Linked DNA regions of Drosophila melanogaster. The protein of the gene in region 2 interacts with the protein of the main gene of each other region in a pairwise test. Each region holds a gene or a part of one and is shown on either strand. Other genes may lie near its edges. The genes, in order: tbrd-1, tbrd-2, tbrd-3 and Taf12L.

Region 1 (5,575 bases), on a different chromosome or scaffold from region 2:
TGTTATAGGGCTGCCAGATTGCAAGACGACTGGTCACCTTAGCTCTGCGTAGTTGCAATGTCAACCGAGAGGTGGCACCTTGGTGCTTGACTGTTTTATTTTGAATTTAAAAACAATAGAAAATGGTATAGTCGAGTTCCCCGACTATCAGATACCCGTTACTCAGCTAGTGGGAATGCCAAAGGGAACATTTCATCATTTTTCTGGGATATCGATAGATACTGGGGAATAAAATAGTCGTGACCGTTTTGGGCGTATTGTAGCAAAAGGAGGCGCGTGGCTAGTGTTTTTTTTTGCACGAAGAAAAATCTAAGCATTTTTCAAAAGTGTGGGCGTGGCAAAATGAGATCAATACAGACGGACATGGCCAGATCGACTCGGCTATTGATCCTGATCAAAAATGTATAGACAAATGTATATGATCGCAATCGCTTCCTTCTGCCTGTTCCATACTTTTCAACGCATCTAGTAATACAGGTATAATTAAACTATGAGAATGTCGGTAGCTCGTAATTAGAATCATATTTTAGGCTAATAACAATTCTTTATGAATAATAATTATAATAATTTGCATTTTCATTTTTTTTCATTTCCGTGGTAGAATTCTACACACTTTAATCGCTATCATAAGTTTGGTCATCCAGCGGCTCCGTACCAGGTGAAAATTCTTGTACATCCTGGGGCTCCATTTTGTACACTCGCTGTTCTTGCACAAACAGGGACTCCGTTTTAATAATAAATGGCTTTGGAACCCATCCTTTGAAATTCTTATTAGCGTTTTCTTGTTTAATGAGCAGGTTTTGTGAGTCACGAAAATCTTGTTCCCTGCTGGCCACCAGTTGACGCCCCTTTTCCTTGGCCGTGGCAATTAACTCCCTGTACTTGGGCAGCCTTTTCTCAAAGATCTCATTGGTTTTCTTCACCGAAACCTTGACCAATCCATCTTCCGGAAAGCAACGCAATGCGTTCTGGAACATCTTTCGTACAGAGCTCACGAATCCATCAAAGCTCTCAAAGTTATCGGAGTCCAAGCGCTCCTGTAGTATCTTCCAATCGAGTTTCTCTTCGCGATCGTGGTCGTAGTCCGGATTCTGGGAGTACCTTCGCCAGTAGTCAGCCTGATTAAATGCCCATGTAACCTGCTTGCGCTTTCGCTTTACCATCGACTTCAGAAGATGATCTGAGTGGCTTTTTTCAATCATTCGGTCGAGAGACTTGTAGCAGATGATAATGGGTGGATTGGGAGCCGGAGGAGGCGATGAAGCTGGAGATTCAACTGGTGCTGGGGTTGGCCAAGGCAAAGTCATGGGTTCCATTGGAGGGGACGGTAAGGGTGCTGCCAAGGAATCCAAGGGACGATAGGAAATTGGCTCTGAGGGCGGTGGATCCATTGCTTCATTTGTCTCCCAATTATTCTTGAATATCGGATTCATCATTGATGACATTGGATGCATAGATTGCATGGGATTCACCAAGGAATCGGGCATAAAAGATGGGATCAAGCTGGGACCCACGAAATTTCGGAATGAAGGATTAAATGACGACACCCCGCCAGGCATCGGTGGGGGACAGAGCCATGAGGAACTACTCGAGAGCCACTGTCTAGAATAATTGTTAGATGCTCGAGGTGCTGAGAACGAAGTCGAGGCTTGATCCAATGATTCAGTAGCCTTTCTCTTGCGCTTTTCCGACTTCGGCTTTAGTTCCACCTCCGTGCTCAAATCAATGGACTCCATTCGCATGTAAAAGGCCTCCATTAGAAGCTTCCCTGCCTGATAAACCGGTGAGCCCTCCAAATTGTACAACAAGCAGTTATCGAATATCAGCTTGAAATCCTCCAGAGCCTCGCTCGCCTGCCAGTAGTATTTGTTGTGCAGTCGCTTCCTAATTGTACTCAAGTCCATCGGATGCTTGACCACCGCATGGTAGTCGGGCACACCCAGGCTCACAGAATCGACGGGATGGCGAAAGTGATACGAGAAGCGATTGCGCCATAAGCAATTCAGCACGGACTTGAGCTCTTCTAGGATGTTTGTCCTTCGCCCAGGACGATTCGGTGGCGGAATCACCGGCGGTTGCACGATGCCATTCACCGGCTGCAGATACGGCTCATTGCGCGGCGGAGGCTGGTTGCTATTCGACTGCAGTTCATTCATTGCTGGTTTGTAAGGTCACCCAACTCCTAATATTAGCCTAAAGCAGTTTTTTTTTTTTTTGGTATTTAGGAAGAATGTGAACTATTTCAAATGCTTACTTTTTGAACAACTCAAAATTCACAGCTCCTTTCGGCTCGGAATACAGAACTTTACTGAACTTCTTTTCGTCAAACACTAATAATTACCTCTTGACACTAGAGTCTATGGTGATGTGATTTACATTTATTGTATGTAAGTCTCCGTTGGGAGTAGTAGAAAATAAAAAATGACCAGACGGATTTTGTCACTGACTTTTTTGTGCTACGTTGGGTCTGTCAAAATTTGTGACATTCACAGTGAGCTTACATTCGATAGCTAGCAATCGTCTAGTATGAGTGATAATACTCCTTTCTAAGGTGCAACTTCAGGGACCTTGGTAGTTGTTGCCACCGCAGATATGCCAAAAAAAAGTTTCCCATGGTTGCTCGGCTGGATCATCACAGCTCTAGTGGGAATCAAACGAAGTGGTTTTGTGGTGGCACCTTGATAAGTTATCAGGTGGTTTTAACGGCTACTCACTGCTTCTACTCAGATGTGTAAGTACAACCAAAGACACTAGAATAATTCTATTCTATTATTCTAGTGTCTTTGGTACAACTTACCAACTTACAAGTTACGGTTGGATGCAAACGAGGATGTGCCGGAAGGCTATAAGGCGGAGTCCCAGTTGTGTGTTGGATCTCCGGACCATAAGGACACATGCAATGGTGACTCGGGAGGTCCTCTGCTGGTTCGTCACATCGGGATCGGATGCTAGTATCAAGTCATGGGAATAACTTCAGTGGGAATCGCGTGTGGAACTCCGAACATTCCCAGTTTGTATACAAGGGTGTATTTCTTTAGAGATTGGGTCAAGCGGGCCATGAATCAAAGAGTTATCTTGTTTTTTAAATTTTTATTTGCTCCGTGTGTTTCCGCTAAGTGTGATTTCATTTTTGTTTTACAATTATAATTTTACAATAGTTTCAACTAAATAAATAATAACAATTTATAAATATAATTTTTTTCCACCCTTCCTAATTTTCTCATGATTTTTACCTTTTTGTGTTTGACATAAATAATTTGTTCTTCTAGAGTTTAAAAAACAATTTGTGCAATCACAATAAATGAAAATCAGTAGCTGTTTTTGATTTGATATCATTTGCTTGACAAGGCAAATGTAATTGTTGTGGATGTTCTTTAAACTTAGTGGCTAAGTATCAGCTTAGGTTACCTATTTATACAAATAATCGGTAGGTCTATAAATTGCAACGAAAACAAAACCTATAAAAACCAAGGATCTATATGCAATAAATAAATACTTAATACGAAACATCTTGGTAGCTTTTGGTGCTTACTATATACAAAACAACGCAAATTTGCGCCGAGGCGCTGTCTATGAAGCCAAAAACCTATCGCTAATTGTTAGAACTGCTCTTTGTAACTTGATTTTCATTAACATCATCTTGCTGTTTTATTGTCTATTTCGAAAGTGTGGCGCGCGCCGCCCAGCGACGCAACTAAGCGGGGAGTCTGTCAAAGAATACAAAACAACAAACTCCAAAGCTGAGGCCTGACACCTAACACTAAACTCTATACTCGTATCGTCACATATGTATGGATAACTCTATATATATGGCCTGGCGGTATGTATCCTCCTGCTGCCCACTACTTATGCCCGATAACGAGGGTGTAGCTGGCTGTGCTCACTGTCGACGATAACGTCGACAGCGCTGGTCATTTGGCCAGCTTCAGGATCTCGGAACGGGCCGATGTTGTCGCTGTCCCGGTTCCAGTTGAAGCTGCTGCAGCTCCAGCTGCTGCTATCGTCCCAATGTTGCCTGTGCCCGTTGTGGCCACCGGTGGAGCCGGAGCAATGCGTATGGGCTTGGCTCGCTGCTGATTGAAGAGGCCACTCAATGTGGCCGCCGTACTGGTGGTCAGCACCATGCTGGCCCCACTTGTGTTGGCCTGGCGCTTGCTCCGCGCGAGTCCATTTATTTTGTTGTTCGTTGAAGAGGGCGATTGCTGCTGCTGTTGCTGCTGCTGCTGCTGCTGATACTGCTGTTGTCCGCCAATTACAGCTGGTCCTGCTGATGCGGGAACAGCAGAGATGGTTGCGGATGACGAGGATGTGGCTGCGGGTGTCGAGGAGGCTGAAATGTTATCCAACTCAGTCATTGCTTCTTGTATGGCCCGCTCGAGCTGCGAGTTCAGTTTGCGGCTCCTTTGTGGTCGCATGGTGAGTGTGTATATGTGGTTGAGTTTTTGGTTGGTTTCAGGTTGGGTTCGGATTTGGGTTTTTCATTTTCGAGTGGGGTTGTTGTTGGTCATGACGATGATGATGATTATGCATACACACACAGAGTTATACACGTTGGGGTTGGCGGGGCATGGTTTAATTTTTGGATTTGGTTCAGCGCATTTAAAAAAAAAGAAACAAGAATATTAATTAGCAAATTAAAAGTCAAATTGTAAACAATGATTAAACTAATTAATAATGCATTTAAATGCCGATTTATCGCTTAATTGCATAGTTAATAATATAAAGTGTCCAATTTTCTAAATATATGTAGCTACGGTTGTAAGGCTTAATAAAGACTGCAAAAAATAAACTAAAAAGTTATCTAGAAGAAATGAAAATATTTTGTATACAAAAATAAACAAAACAAAAATTGTAACGTTTGCTTTCATACAATATGCAAGAATAAACTACAAAGTTAAGATAAATACGCATTACTTCAAGATAGGAAAATTTTATAAATTTAAATTCAACAAATATTTTTCAAAATCGTACAAAAACTAACTACAGAGCTGGTCTGGAGTTCACCTAAAGCCGAAGGTTTCCTGAAATGCTGCCTGTTTTAAATATGAACTTGAATAAATATTTTCCCCTCCTGATCTCTTCCAGAAATTCCCACCCTTAGTCGATGCTCACTTTCTCGTATCCTTCTGGGCCTTGTGATGTGCTTCCAGACCCTCGGAGAGACTCTGCAATGAGTTGACCGGAATTAGCTCGGAGGTCGAACGACCGCCGCCGCCGAACCACTGAACCCAGACGTGGTCGAATTGCTGCGACGGCGTGCACACTCCGTCTGGCATCTTGACAATCTTTCCGGGCCAGGCGGGATGGCCCCGAGCTGGACCCCATATCAGTTCCCCAATGGCAAAGGATCGTGGTGGCAGCGGGAAACTTTTATCAGACGCCGAGGGCGCCGCACGCGCTGCCCCTCGTTGCGGTCGGCGCGAACGTTTCGTGGGCGTCCTGACCGTCGTCTTCTCGACTGTTGGTTGAGCGGTTGGAACTGATGAAAGCAGCTGCGTTGTGGTGGGCGACTCTACGAAAGGCACACACACACACTCATAGAAACTAGGACTACGAATTTGGTTACTCGGGGGCA
Region 2 (6,024 bases):
TACGCCACTGGATAATAATTAATGTCGAATAATTGGCGGAAATTTGTTTGCCATTTAATTGTTGGACTTTCAGATACGCGGCACACTTTCCCCCAACCCCTTTGCATTTCCAATTTATTTTCACAATTTCTCAATCAATTCCCTTTTATTGACCAAGATGCGGGCGCAGCCAGTTAAATTGGTGAATTGCAATTGCAACATTTCGTCGTCTTCTGGTTGTTCGACTTTCCCACTTTTCCGGCGGGTCATTGACTCCCCCCATTCATTTGCTTCCCTGTTTTTCGGGAGCGGCGCGAATAAAATAAGCGAGGGCATAGCTTTTCCGCCATTCCCGTTCCCATTCCCATTCCCAACGGAAATCCATAAATAGTGCGTGTGTGGGTGCGCCCTTTTTTCACCCAAACACCCAGACGTAAAAGAAAGCAGGGGAAAACCAAAGGAATCCCAAAAAAAACCTGCATCTTTTGCGCCGCGATTACCATCGCCGATCGCCATTGTCCTTTGGTCAGGATTCGCGGCGTTCCCACCGAAATGTATTTTCATTGTCTTTTTTTTATATCAAAATCGAAATCAAGAGAAAAAAGTCAGGGTCGCAACAATAGGGTCCACAAAAGTCAGAAATCGCTTAAGGTTAACACATCGCAAACAATGCCGAATGAAATCGGGGAGCGGGACAAGTGTCGCGACCACGACGAGGGTTAAGAAAATGGGAAACCTGTTTGTATCATCTTGTAACTTGTATCTCCGCTCTGGACAGCCTGTACCTGGACCTGGACCTGCTGTTTCCATACCGAGCCCTATCCTAATTGAGGGTTGGTTGGGGGCATTGAGACTACGAGTTTCCACGCTCTCCACGGATGCTGAGTCAGCGGCAATTGCTAAAAAAATAAATATAAAATCGGACGGAAAGGGAAGGGAAGGGAGAAGGGAGAATGGTGAATCGCCGAGGGATCGGAATCGGATTCGTCGGGATCCTGAGAGCTGCAAGATCGCGTAAGCACCGGGCATCGAACAATTAACAACTGCAGGTCTGCAGGTGCCGAAGACAAACAGCAAAAGTCACATACTCCAAAACACAGGCGGTGCACAATGGCCACAGAAAGTCAGTAAAAAAACATTAGCCAAAGGCAGGGGGCGAAGAGGAAAACGTAGGAAAACCAAGGAAAATGCTAGCCGAGCGGTGGCGGGGGAAAAGGTCCCAGGGAAAACACGCACACACAAAAGAGGATAACTCGGCGACGGGACATGCGAGTGCACATTTTCGTCTATAAAATTTATTCGCATTAATCGCCGTCAGAGATAAAATTAACGAAAGAATGGCCAAGGACGTGGACGTTTGCCGGGGTGAGAGGGCTAAGGGCTCAGTGGTCAGGGGTCGGGGATCTGGGATCGGAGCTGGGACTCAAAGTCCCGGGATGATAACGCAATATTGACACCTTGGCCCAGGCAGGTAGAACCTGCGATAGCCGGGCATTCTGCGTCTCCAGCGATTCCGTGAGTGGTCCTTTCTGTGAGTGCCATTGCCTAAAGAGCAACAAATTTGCAGCACGAAAAGTCCTTAGTCAAGGATATAGGACGACAATCGCAGGACTGTACTGCGAACACTGTGAAACATAGAAGCATATGATATTTAGGAATATTATATAATAATATCGTAATATCTACGATGGGAATTAGTTTGTATAATTTTGCAATTAATTTTGCCCATATTCAAGTTCATAATTTTTACGACTCCTTGTTAATTTGCATTATCGATTGGGATTACAGTGATGACCTCCATTTTGTACGATTTTTCCGGAGTGTGCCCCGTGTCTATTTCCGTAGTGGGCCTGTCCCACCGCGGTGGTTCGCAAATGGTTGCGGAGTCCTTCCTGTCCTCCAGTGGGTGCCTGGTTGGGTGGGTGGTTTGGCTGGTTGGGTGGCTCGTATGCCTAGACAAGCAGCACCGCAAAGTGGAATGAAGCGTATGCGTGTGTAATTAAGTGCGCAAAAAGACGCAGGAGGCTGTCGTGGTGGGCGGCGGTGAGGGGCGTGGCCGTATATCTGTATTTATGGGACACACTTACATATGTATGCAAATAGGAAAAGCGTGTTGTTGTTGCTGTACTCCTTGAAGGTTGTCGGTGGTGGGATGTGCCGATGGGTGGTGGGGTGATAAAAATGTTGATGTAAATTGCAAAAAGCAGTTTTTATGTCCCATTGCCACATTTTCCAACCGGGAGGTGGGGTACAAAACGCTGAAAGCCTCTGAAGTGGTGCAAATTATTATAAATATTCAGTGGATGGGGCCGGTCGGGTGTGGTGGTGGGTGGTATGGGTGGTTGGATGTTTGCCTCCATTCCCTTTGATGTGCCATTGTTTGCTTTAGTTTCGGTGTCTTTCTGATCAACCAGCCTATAATTGGTGCACTGCTGCTTATCGAGGGCTTAAGAATAGGCAGGATTTTAAAATAAACGAATGTTCTAATAGTGACTTTCACTTTTGCAAAATCCTAGGGGTTGCCGCATATTTAAATGCAATGTCTTGGCATCCCTGACTAGAACTTTCGAAACTTTCATGCTAGTGATTTCTAAATGGCAGTAGGCTGTGCAATTACTTCACTTGTCAAAATAGGACAGCTGAGCGGTGATATGTGTTTTTCCATCACAAAAATTTGTTCCTGAAAGCGGACGGTCGAACGGCAAAAGTGTTCCCAAAACTCAATCGTAATCGTAGTCAAATTCGAGTTTATATTTGTGTAAAATTGAAAGAGACACGTTTTCAAAAATCGAAACAAACGAACAACCAGTAACCAGTAACTGAAAAATATATCTCTAGCATGGTGAGTTCGTAAGCTATTCACTGCGCGAATTTCTACAAATCATTCTATTGGCAGGCATCTTGCAAGCCGCTTTCCGTAAAACTAAAACTCCCAAATCGTGTCCAACCCGAGTTTATACCGCATCCCGGAATGGCGGGTCGTTATACCAATAAGTTGCATTACTTCAAGAAGCATTTGCTCGACGAGGCTCGCAAGAAGAAGTATGCCTTGGACTTCTTGGAGCCCGTGGACACGGAGGCTCTGATGGTGCCCACATACTACACGGTTATCCATCGTCCCATGGATATCGGTACCATTGTGAAAAGAGTTCAGAACAACTACTATAAATCTGTCAATGAAGCGATTGCCGATTTCAAGCAAATTATTAGCAATTGCTTCCTATTCAATCGATCCGGCGATGTCGTTTACCGCAAGGGCCAGATGCTGGAGAAGTTCTTTCACAAGAAACTCCGAGGCATGCCGTCTGGTCCAGAGGTGCCCTGCAATAGGGATCCCAAGGCGGTGGGCAGGCCTAGGACCAATGCTCCTAGTTCCGCGCAGACGGAACGCAAGTGCCGGGAATTATTGAAGAAGTTGCAGAGCATCACCAATCAGACAGATGCCATGACGCGCAATTTCTTCAGTAACAAGTGGGATTCGTTGCAAAAGAAAGTTGATCGCCAGTACTTCAAGTCTGTCAATGAATTTTGCTTGCATGTGGATGGCTGCTTTAGAAAGTACCACGAACCGGCTAAAATCCTCTACGAAAGAGTCTTTAATCAGCCGGCGGCTTGGTGTACTTCCATGAATGGAAACTCATCGCTGGAATCTGCTTTGAATGCCGCAGATCTAAATGAACTACTGGCTGCCGCCAAGTTAACGGTAAATAGCTTGATGCAGTGCGTCCAAATGCCCGGTTCCGGGGAACCTCTGACAGCCAAGAGTTTGGTGGAGACTTTCTGTGACACCTTAAACAAGATGATAAACAAAATGGAGGCAGGTCAACGAAATTCTCCAAACCCATCATCTAGCAAACGACAGAAGATGAGCCCCGAGCAGGAAACGGATTTGGTCCAAGGCGAATTTAAGCCAGCTATGGAGTTGTTAAGTGGAAATGAAATAGATAACCTCATGGCAGTTAGCATTGAATCCTCAGATGATGAAGCTATCGATGCCTCAATGCGTATCACTGACGCGGATCGATGTGCCACACAGAAATTATTTGCCAAGCTTCCGACAAACGCCATGAAGGAGATAATTCACATGGTCCAGCAAATCGAAGGATTTTCCTCAGAGAACTGTGGAGATCTGAGCTTCGATGTCAAAGGTCTCGCCACGGATACTATGATCATGATGAAAAGTGCCGTCACCAAGGCAACTAGGGCCCATAGCAAGCTGAAGCTCAAGGACATGCAGCCTTCGGAAAAGGAAGGACTTCAGCGGGCACTGCAGTCGCAGCTGGTGAACATTACACGGATGCTCAACAAAAATCGTCGCCGATGTGGTCCCTTGATCAATTTCAGGAATAAAAACAACACTGCCAATAACGTGGTGCGTAAGAGAGCAACTGCTCCGCTAACCGCCAAATTGAAGCCGCTACAGGCTAATGTAATGGCTCCACAATTGGGAGCAGGTGTTGTTGAGACTCACAATCTGAGCGATACCAGCGACGATGACGTCTCCGCTCCGGTAAAACTGTCGGCTATTGGTGGCACTCCAATGAGGAATCTCCCAATAAATAGTAATCCTTTGCAAATGCAACCCATCAGATCCCCCCCCAAGTTGCCACACGTTGTCGAACTCCAGATGAGCAGCAGCAGCAGCAGCGAGTCGGAAATGAAATCCAAGTCCGGCAGACTTTCTAGGTCCAGGTCCAGGTCCATGTCCGACACCAAGTTGAGACCCAGGTCAAACTCCAGCGCCAGCTCTAGATCTAACTCTAGTTCTAGCTCTGGCTCCAACGCTGGCTCCAGCTCAGGGTCGCGCTCCAGATCAAGCTCCAGTTCCAGTTCATCTTCGAACAACAGCTCCGAGTCCAACGATTCCTCTGACGTTGAAGTGGTCCCCAATGTACCCGAAGGACAGCTGAGGGCCTAATCCTCATAAAGAAGTCTTATGAATTCTTGCATTTTATGTATATGTAAAAAAAAGGGGGGTTTCACTACAAATATCCCAAATATAAGAAAATAAAAACTGTAAACACCTATATTACACATTCATGTGTACATATATGGTTGGACAAGAAACTAAAAAAAATTAATATGTTTGTAATTCATTATTTCCTAAGAGCTTGGGAAATTGCGATCAGAGATTTAGCATCTCCAATCTCTACTGTCTTTGCAACGATCACGTAGACCAGCAAAATTTTCACGAAAAATTATGCAAATTTCCGAACTTTCTCACGATCGCAGCCAAAAAAGGATAACGATGCTCGCAGTACCTGACACCCAGCAGTCAAATTAGAGCGGAGATCACGCAGATCCTGTATCTCGCGGCGGAAGGAGTTTTTCACAGCCAAGGAAATTTGCATAAGATTTTCACTTGGCGAATATAAAGGGAAGGGCGAGGATGCACTCTCATTTGCATAAGGAAACTCGCATTGCGAAACTGCCAAAAGAACTCGGATGCAAACGAAAGTGAAAATGGGATGGAAAAAGGGAAATGCCACAGAGACAGGGGTTAATTACGGGCACAGTGGACGGCGCCTTGTTCACAGCATGCCGACACGCTCGCACACCTGAGTCCTGCGGCCCGGCCCGAGTCCTTCGTCCTGCGTCCTGCGTGCTGGCAGCAGGGGGTTGAAAAGGGACGGCACTATGGCAATAGCGTCGCAGCTCATTTGCATAAGGTCCACACACGAGATGTGCATGCAATTTACTTGCCCAAAAATTATGTAAATCACTCGTGCAAAAAGGAGACTTTCTCACGCTCCTCGCACAACTCCTTCGGCAATGTCCTGATCTTGGAGGCATCGCGGTCCTGGGTGATCTGGCATTTCGGGGTGCGGTGTTTGGGTTTCTGCACACCGGGCAACAAATCAATTTTGATCGATTTTAATTTGGTCCTCGATTGATTTGGTCATTTGCATATTCGGGCGATCCCTGTTTTCGTCCCGATTATTATGCAAATTCTACACCGAACTTCCTTGACTTAGGACAATAAGAAGTTGATGGACTTCCTTATGGAAGGGTTAGAAATACCCTTTTGCGAAAGGCTTGATTTAT
Region 3 (4,425 bases), 4.1 Mb from region 2:
TACCCCAACCGCCTGCAGAAAAGGGCCGCGGAAAGAGGCTAAAGGGTGGTGGAGGAAAGCCGGTGAGTGGAAAATTACCAAATAGATTAACTTTCATTACAATCTTTCTGTATTGAAGAAAAAAGACAAGAAGGGGAAAAAGGAGAAAAAGGCTAAAGTAGTGGAACCGGAACCAGAAAATCCGAAGAAGCCGAAGGTATCGCCCTGGAAGCCACCGCCTCGCAAACTCGTTAGCGGCCCCTTCCGTATCCACAACATCGACTTCAACGAGTACACACAGGTGTGTACGCAAGTAGTTGGTCCTTCGGAGTGCGAGCTTCCTCCGGCTCCCAAAAAGTCGGCCGTATCTTTTATCCTGGCCAAGGGAAAGATCGAAGGGAATGCACACAAGTGCGATATGCGCATGCCCAATAACAGGCATGTGAAAACTAGGTTCTTCCGGGGACCCCGTTCGAACAAGCCGTACCAGTTCAAATACCATCGGGTCTTCCAATCCGGCCAACCGAAACCCTTTGATCTCAGTCATATTATGGCCAAGTCTTTTGTGAAGGCGCTGGATCAGTCGGATGGGGACGAAGCCGATCCGTGTTACTTTAGGGAGCTTTTGTCGGAGATGGTGATTGAGGACGAGGCGCCTCCGGATTCCAAGTCTGAAGGCCTTCCCGAAACCGAGCCGGAGAAGAAATCGAAGCAGGACAGCCAGCCCCCGTTGGAAATCTTTAGTGACCTGGATCAGACTAGAATCTCCGACAGTCGAGAGACCTTGGATCGTTCGAGCAACCACAGTGGTCGCAGCCATGTGAACTACAAGGCGGAGATCGTGGATGCAGTAGTGAGATGTGCCAAGGCGGTTTGGCAGAAGCGTACCCTAATAAAGCGGGCCGAGATGGAGCGCATGGGCAGAATGACGCCGCGCAAGGCACTGACCCATAAGGATACGGAATCATTCGATCCGAACGATGCCGCCCAGATGGACAAGTTGCTAAAGGATGGCATGCGAGTACTCAGGAAGGAGCCCCGCTATGTGCTGGCCTGTCTGCCAGACGCCCACAAGCTGCCAGTGCTGCGGGAGTGGGTCAAGAGGAGGTACGGCAAAACCTACAGCCAGAAGGAGCTCGAGGAGAGTATAGCCGAGTCGAGCAGGATATTCGAGCTGGTCACCATCCTCCAGAGCAGTCCCGCCAGTCCCGATCTTATGGGCATTGATCGCCTGCCCAGATCCAAGGAGAACTTTAACTTCTATAAGCAGATTAAGAATACGGTATATATATATATATATATGTACATATATTTTACTATACTAAAACTATATTTTTCAGGCTGCCCTGGCTAAGCAAACATATCACGATCAGTTGAATGCCCGCTACCTAAGCATCGTGAGCTCCGCCTGGTACGCCATGGGCAACTATCTGGTGCCCGGAGGACCTCCTCGGAAGACCTTTTTCGCTTACATAGCTTCCAATCCGCTGGAGATCATGCGTAACAAGACGTGGAATGGGGATTTCCGGAACTACCGCTCCATGCGCGACAAGAGAAAGGAGCAGGAGAAGCTTTTGGGCAAAAAGGACTAGATTACAATAAATTAAAACTCTTTTTCAATCTGAAACTCAATTATATTTGGGCTTGGTGCGGGCCACTCTTTTGCCGGTGAACCCCTTGCTGGCCAAATAATCACGGATGCCGCGTTTGGTGTGCACCTTCAGTTTGCAGATGTCGAACTCCAGCTCCTTGTTGCAGTACTCGGCGCCCTCCATGCGTTGAATGAAATGGATGACGTGGAGCAGCACCTCGCCGTCCAGCTGCTGAATCTTGGCGTGCAGATCAAGGTCCTCCTCGGTTGTAAAGGGCTCCTGCTGCTCCGAAGTTTCCAAAGTTGCCGGCGGAGTCCAATCGGGGGTCGGAGTACATTCGGTGGTTGGAGTACATGAGGGGGGCGCACCCATTATGGAGGGGGACACCTCCGAGCCGTTCACCTCGTCCTCCGGCGATGATGAGTCCGATTCATCCGAGGAGCTCTCTTCCTCGGCACGCACTTTACTGCCGCTGGAGCAGATGTAGAGCTGCACCTGGGAGTACATCTCCTCAAAGATGATCTGCAGCTGTTTGGCCATGTGGTAGCACAGGTGATCGGGATTCGTGTACAGATAGGTGTTGTAGAAAATCAGCCTTATGTCTTTGGCGAAATCCGCGGCACTGAGATAGCAACCCGTATTCAAACGATGCCTCACGGTGGACAGATCCATGGGTTCCCGGACAATCTCATGGTAATCGTGGAGGCCCAGCAGTTGCGGATCCAGTGGCTCGTAGAAAACCCAAGCAATATTCTTATAGGTACTGGAAAACAACCTTTTAATAATCACCTTGCAGGCATTAATTTCCGGCGAGGACCGTTCAGTTTCTTGTTTTGCAGCCATTTCAGAAAAATATCTTCGATATCGACTATCGGAAAATTCTATTATAATTTCTATCGTTTTGACAACTTGAACGCAATACAACTGACAATATTCACACTCCGGGTTGCCCTGTACGATGATATTTTTAGCTTATGAAAACTTTTAGGATTGCCACCTCAATCCGAGCAGAAAAGTCAATCCACAAATGCGGTTTGGGGCAACAAACAAATTCAGTTAATTATGCAAGTGGCTCCGGCCAGGAAAGTATTTCCATACATTTTGTGTGGGAGTGCGGTCCTTTGTGGGAATGCTCTGCCTCAATCCTGAAGCTATGATGGTTAATCTAATTCCGAGACCCGTACAAACAGTCCTTTTTTCGGTAAACGTATTTAAAATCCCCATCGAGCTGTGGGGGCGAAAATATTTATGGTCAACCGCTGACGTTTGCTATTTTAGAGTGCCGAAATATTTCGTTAGCATAAAAGTTTTGTTAGGACACACAATATACATCATTTTTGGGCAAATATTTGCAGGGCTTTCATTTGGGCAGTCAACAAGTTGGGTTTACAAAAGTTAAATCGAAATCCTGTTTAAAGTCACTCTGTTAAGTTGGCTTCCACAGGCATGAGGGGAAATCCTGTTCCTGTGGCTCTCTCCCTCTGTTAGCTTGCGATCCACAACTGAGAGCAACCGATTTACGGAGACCTTCATTTTCTCGCTGTTAACTTACCTGCCACAAAATGTTGCAAATTGGGTGGCAATCGGACCAGGTCTTGGCCACATCTTGGGGCGCCTCTTCAGTCTGCTGTTGGGCCTTTGGGGGAATGGTCCTGCGAATGGGTCAATTGGGATTGCACTCCACTGACCCACTTGCGAATGGGGATTCACCTCTGGGCATCATCTGGTTCGGATGTTGACCTTCAACCCCAAGTTTGGAGACTTTACACATAGAGTTTGCGAAACCGAAAGAAAAAGAGATTAATCTTCAAAGTATATTTAAAATATATATAATCAAAAATACCAAATAACAATATAGATAAAGTTATACCCTATATCTGTCATATATCCACTTTTTCGCAAGATCATTCGCTTTGGAGGCATCTAGACCTAGAATAAATTGATATGAGTGATATTTTTATGCATATGTGTAGCTGAGAGCCCTTAGCACACGATTCCCTTTGATCTTGTCGATATGTCAGCGGGGCAGAACTTTACTTCGCATTTCACGGCAAACATTCCGCTCTCTATTGCCGATTTCCAGATAAAAATCTTGTTCGTTTTTCACATAAGTAAAACTGCGACACTCAATCAGTTGGCAGATGAAATTATACACCCAGAGACTGGGCCAGGTGCTAAAAGGATCGCCAGGGGGACGCAAAGGAAACGTGTGAGGCTGTCAGTGGCAAGCACATCCCTTTCCCCCAAACCCACTTGCCTCGCACCTGCGAACGAATCCCTACCTGGCCATCCCGCATCCCATTGGAACCGGGCAATATATGGATAAATATAAAAAAAAGGGCGGCAATATGAAAGCCCTGCAGAAATGGAAAGAAGGGAAGAACCAGCAGACGAGGACGCCGAGGAGATATGAGAAATGTACATTTGGACAGGCTACACACGCTGCCCTCGCACGGCACAGCGATGGAGAGGGGGCTATTCGAGCGAAAGAGACGGCGACAGCCAGTCAGATGTCAAACATTCTTTTGACACTTTGTCATAGCATCTCCCGGTGACACTTGTCAGCAGTCGGATTTCGCATTTCGGTGGAATGGCTGTGCCGCAGTTGATTTATACTGCCATGCATATGATATATATGTGTGTAAATATATACCTATAGGTATGTACGCGATTGTATCTTAATAGCATTTACTTATGCACCGCCCGAATTCAATTTAGCTAATGCAGCAATAAGAGTCCATTCATTTACCGTTTTCTGAGTATTGGCTACAAATTAACAAAACAAAGTTGGGAATCACTTGATCAGCTATTGAAGAAACCATTGAACTTGAACTCTAGTTTAAATATCTTTATT
Region 4 (4,220 bases), on a different chromosome or scaffold from region 2:
GTAAAAAAAATATTACATCTCAGAATTCGCTTAAAAACAACGAAATGCAGCTACTGCAAATGCAAAACATTCAGCGACATAGAATGAAATCCTTTGGGTTTTCTTTAAATAAGTACAGATCATCTTCTGAATACAAAACCACAAGTTTGCTTAAGAGTCAGAGAGAGAAGCTCCAGAATTATGCCATTTTCCGCTATACCCATGGCCCGCGAAGAAGTATTCTTTATTCTTGAGGCAGCACCAAATAAAAAAAAAATATGAGAAAAAATCGCTCTGAAATTTCCGCCTCGGTCTTATCCTTTATTTTGAGCAAAGGACCTGAAAAGGAACCCAGTGCCCGTTCATGTGTGTAAATGGGAGCATGTGAGTGTTTTTCAGCCACTGTGTGAGTGTGTGGCATTATGCGCCCTGGCATTTTTATGGCACTTTAACTTTATGTTGAGTAATTCCCGGCTGAAGGGCGAGAGTCAAGTCCTCGGGAAAGTGTGGCCGAGACCATGATGACCGCTTTGCAGGGGCTATTGAATGTGAGTCCGGCTCTTGACAGCGGCCATTGAATTTATTAATTGCTTAATCATGATGATCCGGTTTGCAATTTATCACCAGGCGTGCACCTTTTCTCATTGATACCTCAATGGGTATTCACAATTATGTTCAATAAAATTCTTTCGTCAGCTAACAAATTTGTATTAAACACGAGTTTTGTGTATTCTTTAAATTCACGATGAAACCATATTTTGGCAAAACACGTTTTTCAGTCTAAAAGGAGGCCTTTTTTTTATCATAAAACTTAAAATAATTGTCCAAATATGGAATGCCATACCTCGTTGAGCTTGTATTTTATCCCCAAATCGATTGGCATTCAAACTTGGCAATTTTAATTTTTTGCCAATTTTTGCAAAATTTGATGATGGTATAAAAAATGCAAAAACTGACCCAAAAATAAAATTTTTTTTATTGACCAAAAAGTAATAGCAATTGTTGCTATTGGTAATTAGGTGCAGAAAACAGTTATTCCTGTACTTATCTGACTATTTTTAGGCGAGTTGTGAAGAAAATACCACTCTTAAATATTGCGTTTTTGCCAAAAGAGACCTTTTTGATTTTTCGCCCAAATATATTCAGTTTTTTCATCATAAATCTTAAAACAATTGTCCAAATATGGAATGCCATACCTCGTTTAGCTTGTATTTTATCCCCAAATCAATTGGCATTCCAATTTGGAAATTTTAATTTTTTGCCAATTTTTGCAAATTTTGATGATGGTACCCCTTATAAAAAATGCAAAACTGACCCAAAAATAAAATTTTTTTTATTGACCAAAAAGTAATTGCACTGGTTAACATTGGTAATTAGGTGCAGAAAACAATTATTCTTGTTGCCTTTCTGACAGTTTTAAACCAAGTTATTCATACATTTTATTCATTCCACAATTTTCAAATTCTACATTATTTTTCCCTTTATTGGACATTTATTCAATTGGGAACTCCATGTTGAACTCCCGCTTGAGGATGAACTTCAGGTCCAGCACGCTAACGTCGCTCTTTCGATACTTGGCCAACTTAACTATGCGCATGGATATGTCGTTAACAAAGGCATCGGCTATTCTGGCCATCATATCGCAACCTTGATCGTCCAGCGATGAATTTGCATCGATTTTCTGCACAAATTGCAGCATGTTGGTCTTGGAGATAATCTGATAGGGGGAAAAGTACGGATCGATTAATGCGTCCTAATTGGGGAAGTCGTTACGTACATCGTAGCTTCCGCCAGGGACAGACTGGCTCTCAATTACGCTAGCTGGCTCCTTCTCCACGGAGCTGGTGTCTATGCTGGTGTCACTGGAGCGGCTCGAGGATCTGGTCGAAGAGTGGCTCTCGTTATCCGACGATTTATCGCTGTCATCGAAATTGAGGGCAAAGGACCAAGGTTCCATGTTACTATCCATGATTCAATTAATTTAATGTCCTTTCCCGTTAATGCCACATGCACTAGGTAAGAAAGTGGCTTGAACTGGTTGGAAATTATAGGAACATAAGGTGTGAGCTAATGCATACTTTTCGGGTCCTGTGTCTTTCTTCAAAAAGCAAAAAGTTTTTTCTTGGTGTCGTGGGACATTACACTTTCTCTCAATTTTTTACCCGGCAATAGTTTGGATCGGGAAAACCCAGCTGGGCTTTGCAGCCTCAACTCTTCGCCCTTGGCCTGCCATAAATAACCAGTTTAAGTCGCAAGCTCTGCAGCTGAAAACGATTTCCATTGTTGCCGCAGCGTTTACCCTTTCCGCTGCGGCTTTTCCTTCACGGTTTTTCCGCCGTCTTCTGCTTTTGATTTATGTTCCGACTGGGCTGTGCGCTTTTCACTTCTCATGCGCCAGCGCCGTCTAAATAAATATCAAAAAGCAACAAATTGTGGCCGTGCCGTAAACGACCTTTGCCCCGGAATAAGAAGCCAGGCCAGGCGACAAGCGCGTCGTCATGGCTTAATTTTATGCCAGGTGAGTACTGGCAAGGCCAGTCAAAACAACAGCACACACGTGCCCAGGTGTCCTGCCAGCCTATTATGCCGTTTGTTCTTTTTGCAAACCCTTAATGCACAGTGGGAATTTCGCTTCAGCGAAGCACCGCGCAAATTTAAGGCCACCTTGGGAGCTTCGGGTTTCAGAATTCAGGCTGCAACTTAAGCCAACTCGGAAAACTGATTTAAACGTGCGGCTATAATTTATATGCCTAGTGAGGGGCTTAAACGTAAATAATCTTAATTTAAACACCATTGAAAAAGGAAGCTCTTCTTAATATTCACATCTACTTCTAATGGAAAAAACATGATCTTGTATATTGTAATTAATAATAACTAATATTCAAATTTAAGATGCTTAAACCGGTGCCACAGTGCCCGTTTTTGTCATTCTAAAATGGTGTGCCATGTGCCTTTGCTGCGCTCCTGCCACTTTGGAGGTGCTCCTCAGTGTCCTCGGCTTAATAAAGTCGCCTACTTAAAGCGAGCGACAATGACATTGTGCGTATGTTGCCAGTCGTCGTCGGTGGAAAGGGATTGGTATGATGGGGTGGCCAGGTCGCCCCTTCGGCCATGTGTCACACATCCGCATCCGGTGTTTGGCATTGGCATTAGGCTTCCTCTTTCTACCTCCCACCGCCGACTGTCGTTTGTCGTTTCCGGCATGCGACTCTTTTATATTGCCGCTTCTATTTGCTGTGTGCACTTTTCTGCCCCTGTCCGCTCATTTCTGCCTTCTCTGGCTGATTTCTGTTTCATATTTTGCTCGCTGGCCTTATGCATAGTGTAAGGCAGCAAAAAACGGCCGACGTTTAGCTTTAAGTGTGCTGAGTGCCATAAATTTCACTTTGTCAGGGTCTTTAATCGCCCAAGCCCCAATCAGGCAGTCATTGTGGGGACTTGAAGAGGACTTGGCTGGTTCGGAAAGGTTAATTGTCATCTAAGTCTTATGGCGAATATATATATTTTACACATTTTCTTTATTCTAAATTTAATCAACATGCTTGTTCCCTTCCTTTAATAAAACCACGACTCAAAAAGAAGTTGTTTCAGCCTTCATGTTGCGTTCTAATGGCACATATCATATCCGTAACGAGAATGCCAGTCAGTGCCTGTATATGAAGTGCTAATTTGCTGTCGTGCTCACATAAAAAATGACAGCCTTAGTTGCCAAAATGTTTGAATTAATCACACATTTGTCAAAATTATTCAAATGTCTTTGCGGCGCGAGAGAAAGTGAATGAGTGTGTGTGTGGGCATGAATAGTTAATACGCATGTGGGGGCTACGCCCGGTTCCGCCCCCTCAGTTTTAGCCGCAGAATGGTGTCTGTGTAATAAGGCTAATGAGTTTCTGCCATGTCTGGCAGAGTGTCGAGACTGAGGGGCTAATTCTCAGCCAGTCAGCATGTTCTATGCACTCGCAGTTACTGGCTGGCTGCCATTTGGAATGGTTTTATTTCACATGATTATGACATTCTGTTGTTCAGGATTTCCCACACACAAATGAAACAGCCACGCATTCTTAGGCCCCGTTTTATTAACGGAGGATGTACTTTTTCGCCTCCGCAGTGGCTGTGCCAGATATTGCGTATACGCCACAGTGGCAGATGCGAAATTAATTTAAATCGGGCCCTCAGCGCACAGACTATTAAACAGAACTCGATCTGCAACAGATTTGCGTTAATGTTTCATAAATGCAAAA

What was found.
Region 1: the proteins of tbrd-2 (region 2) and tbrd-1 interact in a two-hybrid assay, tested with the Drosophila melanogaster proteins (4 studies listed by BioGRID).
Region 3: the proteins of tbrd-2 (region 2) and tbrd-3 interact in a two-hybrid assay, tested with the Drosophila melanogaster proteins (one study listed by BioGRID).
Region 4: the proteins of tbrd-2 (region 2) and Taf12L interact in a two-hybrid assay, tested with the Drosophila melanogaster proteins (one study listed by BioGRID).

Annotation. Positions count from the first base shown.
Region 1 is NT_033777.3:23,891,097-23,896,671, forward strand, and holds tbrd-1 (testis-specifically expressed bromodomain containing protein-1), read right to left. Parts: upstream 2,465-5,575; 5' UTR 2,255-2,464; intron 2,194-2,254; 5' UTR 2,157-2,193; coding exon 615-2,156; 3' UTR 501-614; downstream 1-500. Other genes in the region: sba (six-banded), read right to left, coding at 3,912-4,401, 5,113-5,512.
Region 2 is NT_033778.4:19,257,247-19,263,270, forward strand, and holds tbrd-2 (testis-specifically expressed bromodomain containing protein-2), read left to right. Parts: upstream 1-2,662; 5' UTR 2,663-2,818; coding exon 2,819-2,821; intron 2,822-2,875; coding exon 2,876-4,897; 3' UTR 4,898-5,048; downstream 5,049-6,024.
Region 3 is NT_033778.4:23,325,143-23,329,567, forward strand, and holds tbrd-3 (testis-specifically expressed bromodomain containing protein-3), read right to left. Parts: upstream 2,440-4,425; 5' UTR 2,415-2,439; coding exon 1,608-2,414; 3' UTR 1,597-1,607; downstream 1-1,596. Other genes in the region: CG9861 (uncharacterized protein), read left to right, coding at 1-62, 119-1,261, 1,320-1,571.
Region 4 is NT_033779.5:4,699,521-4,703,740, forward strand, and holds Taf12L (TBP-associated factor 30kD subunit alpha-2), read right to left. Parts: upstream 1,966-4,220; 5' UTR 1,949-1,965; coding exon 1,757-1,948; intron 1,697-1,756; coding exon 1,472-1,696; 3' UTR 1,315-1,471; downstream 1-1,314.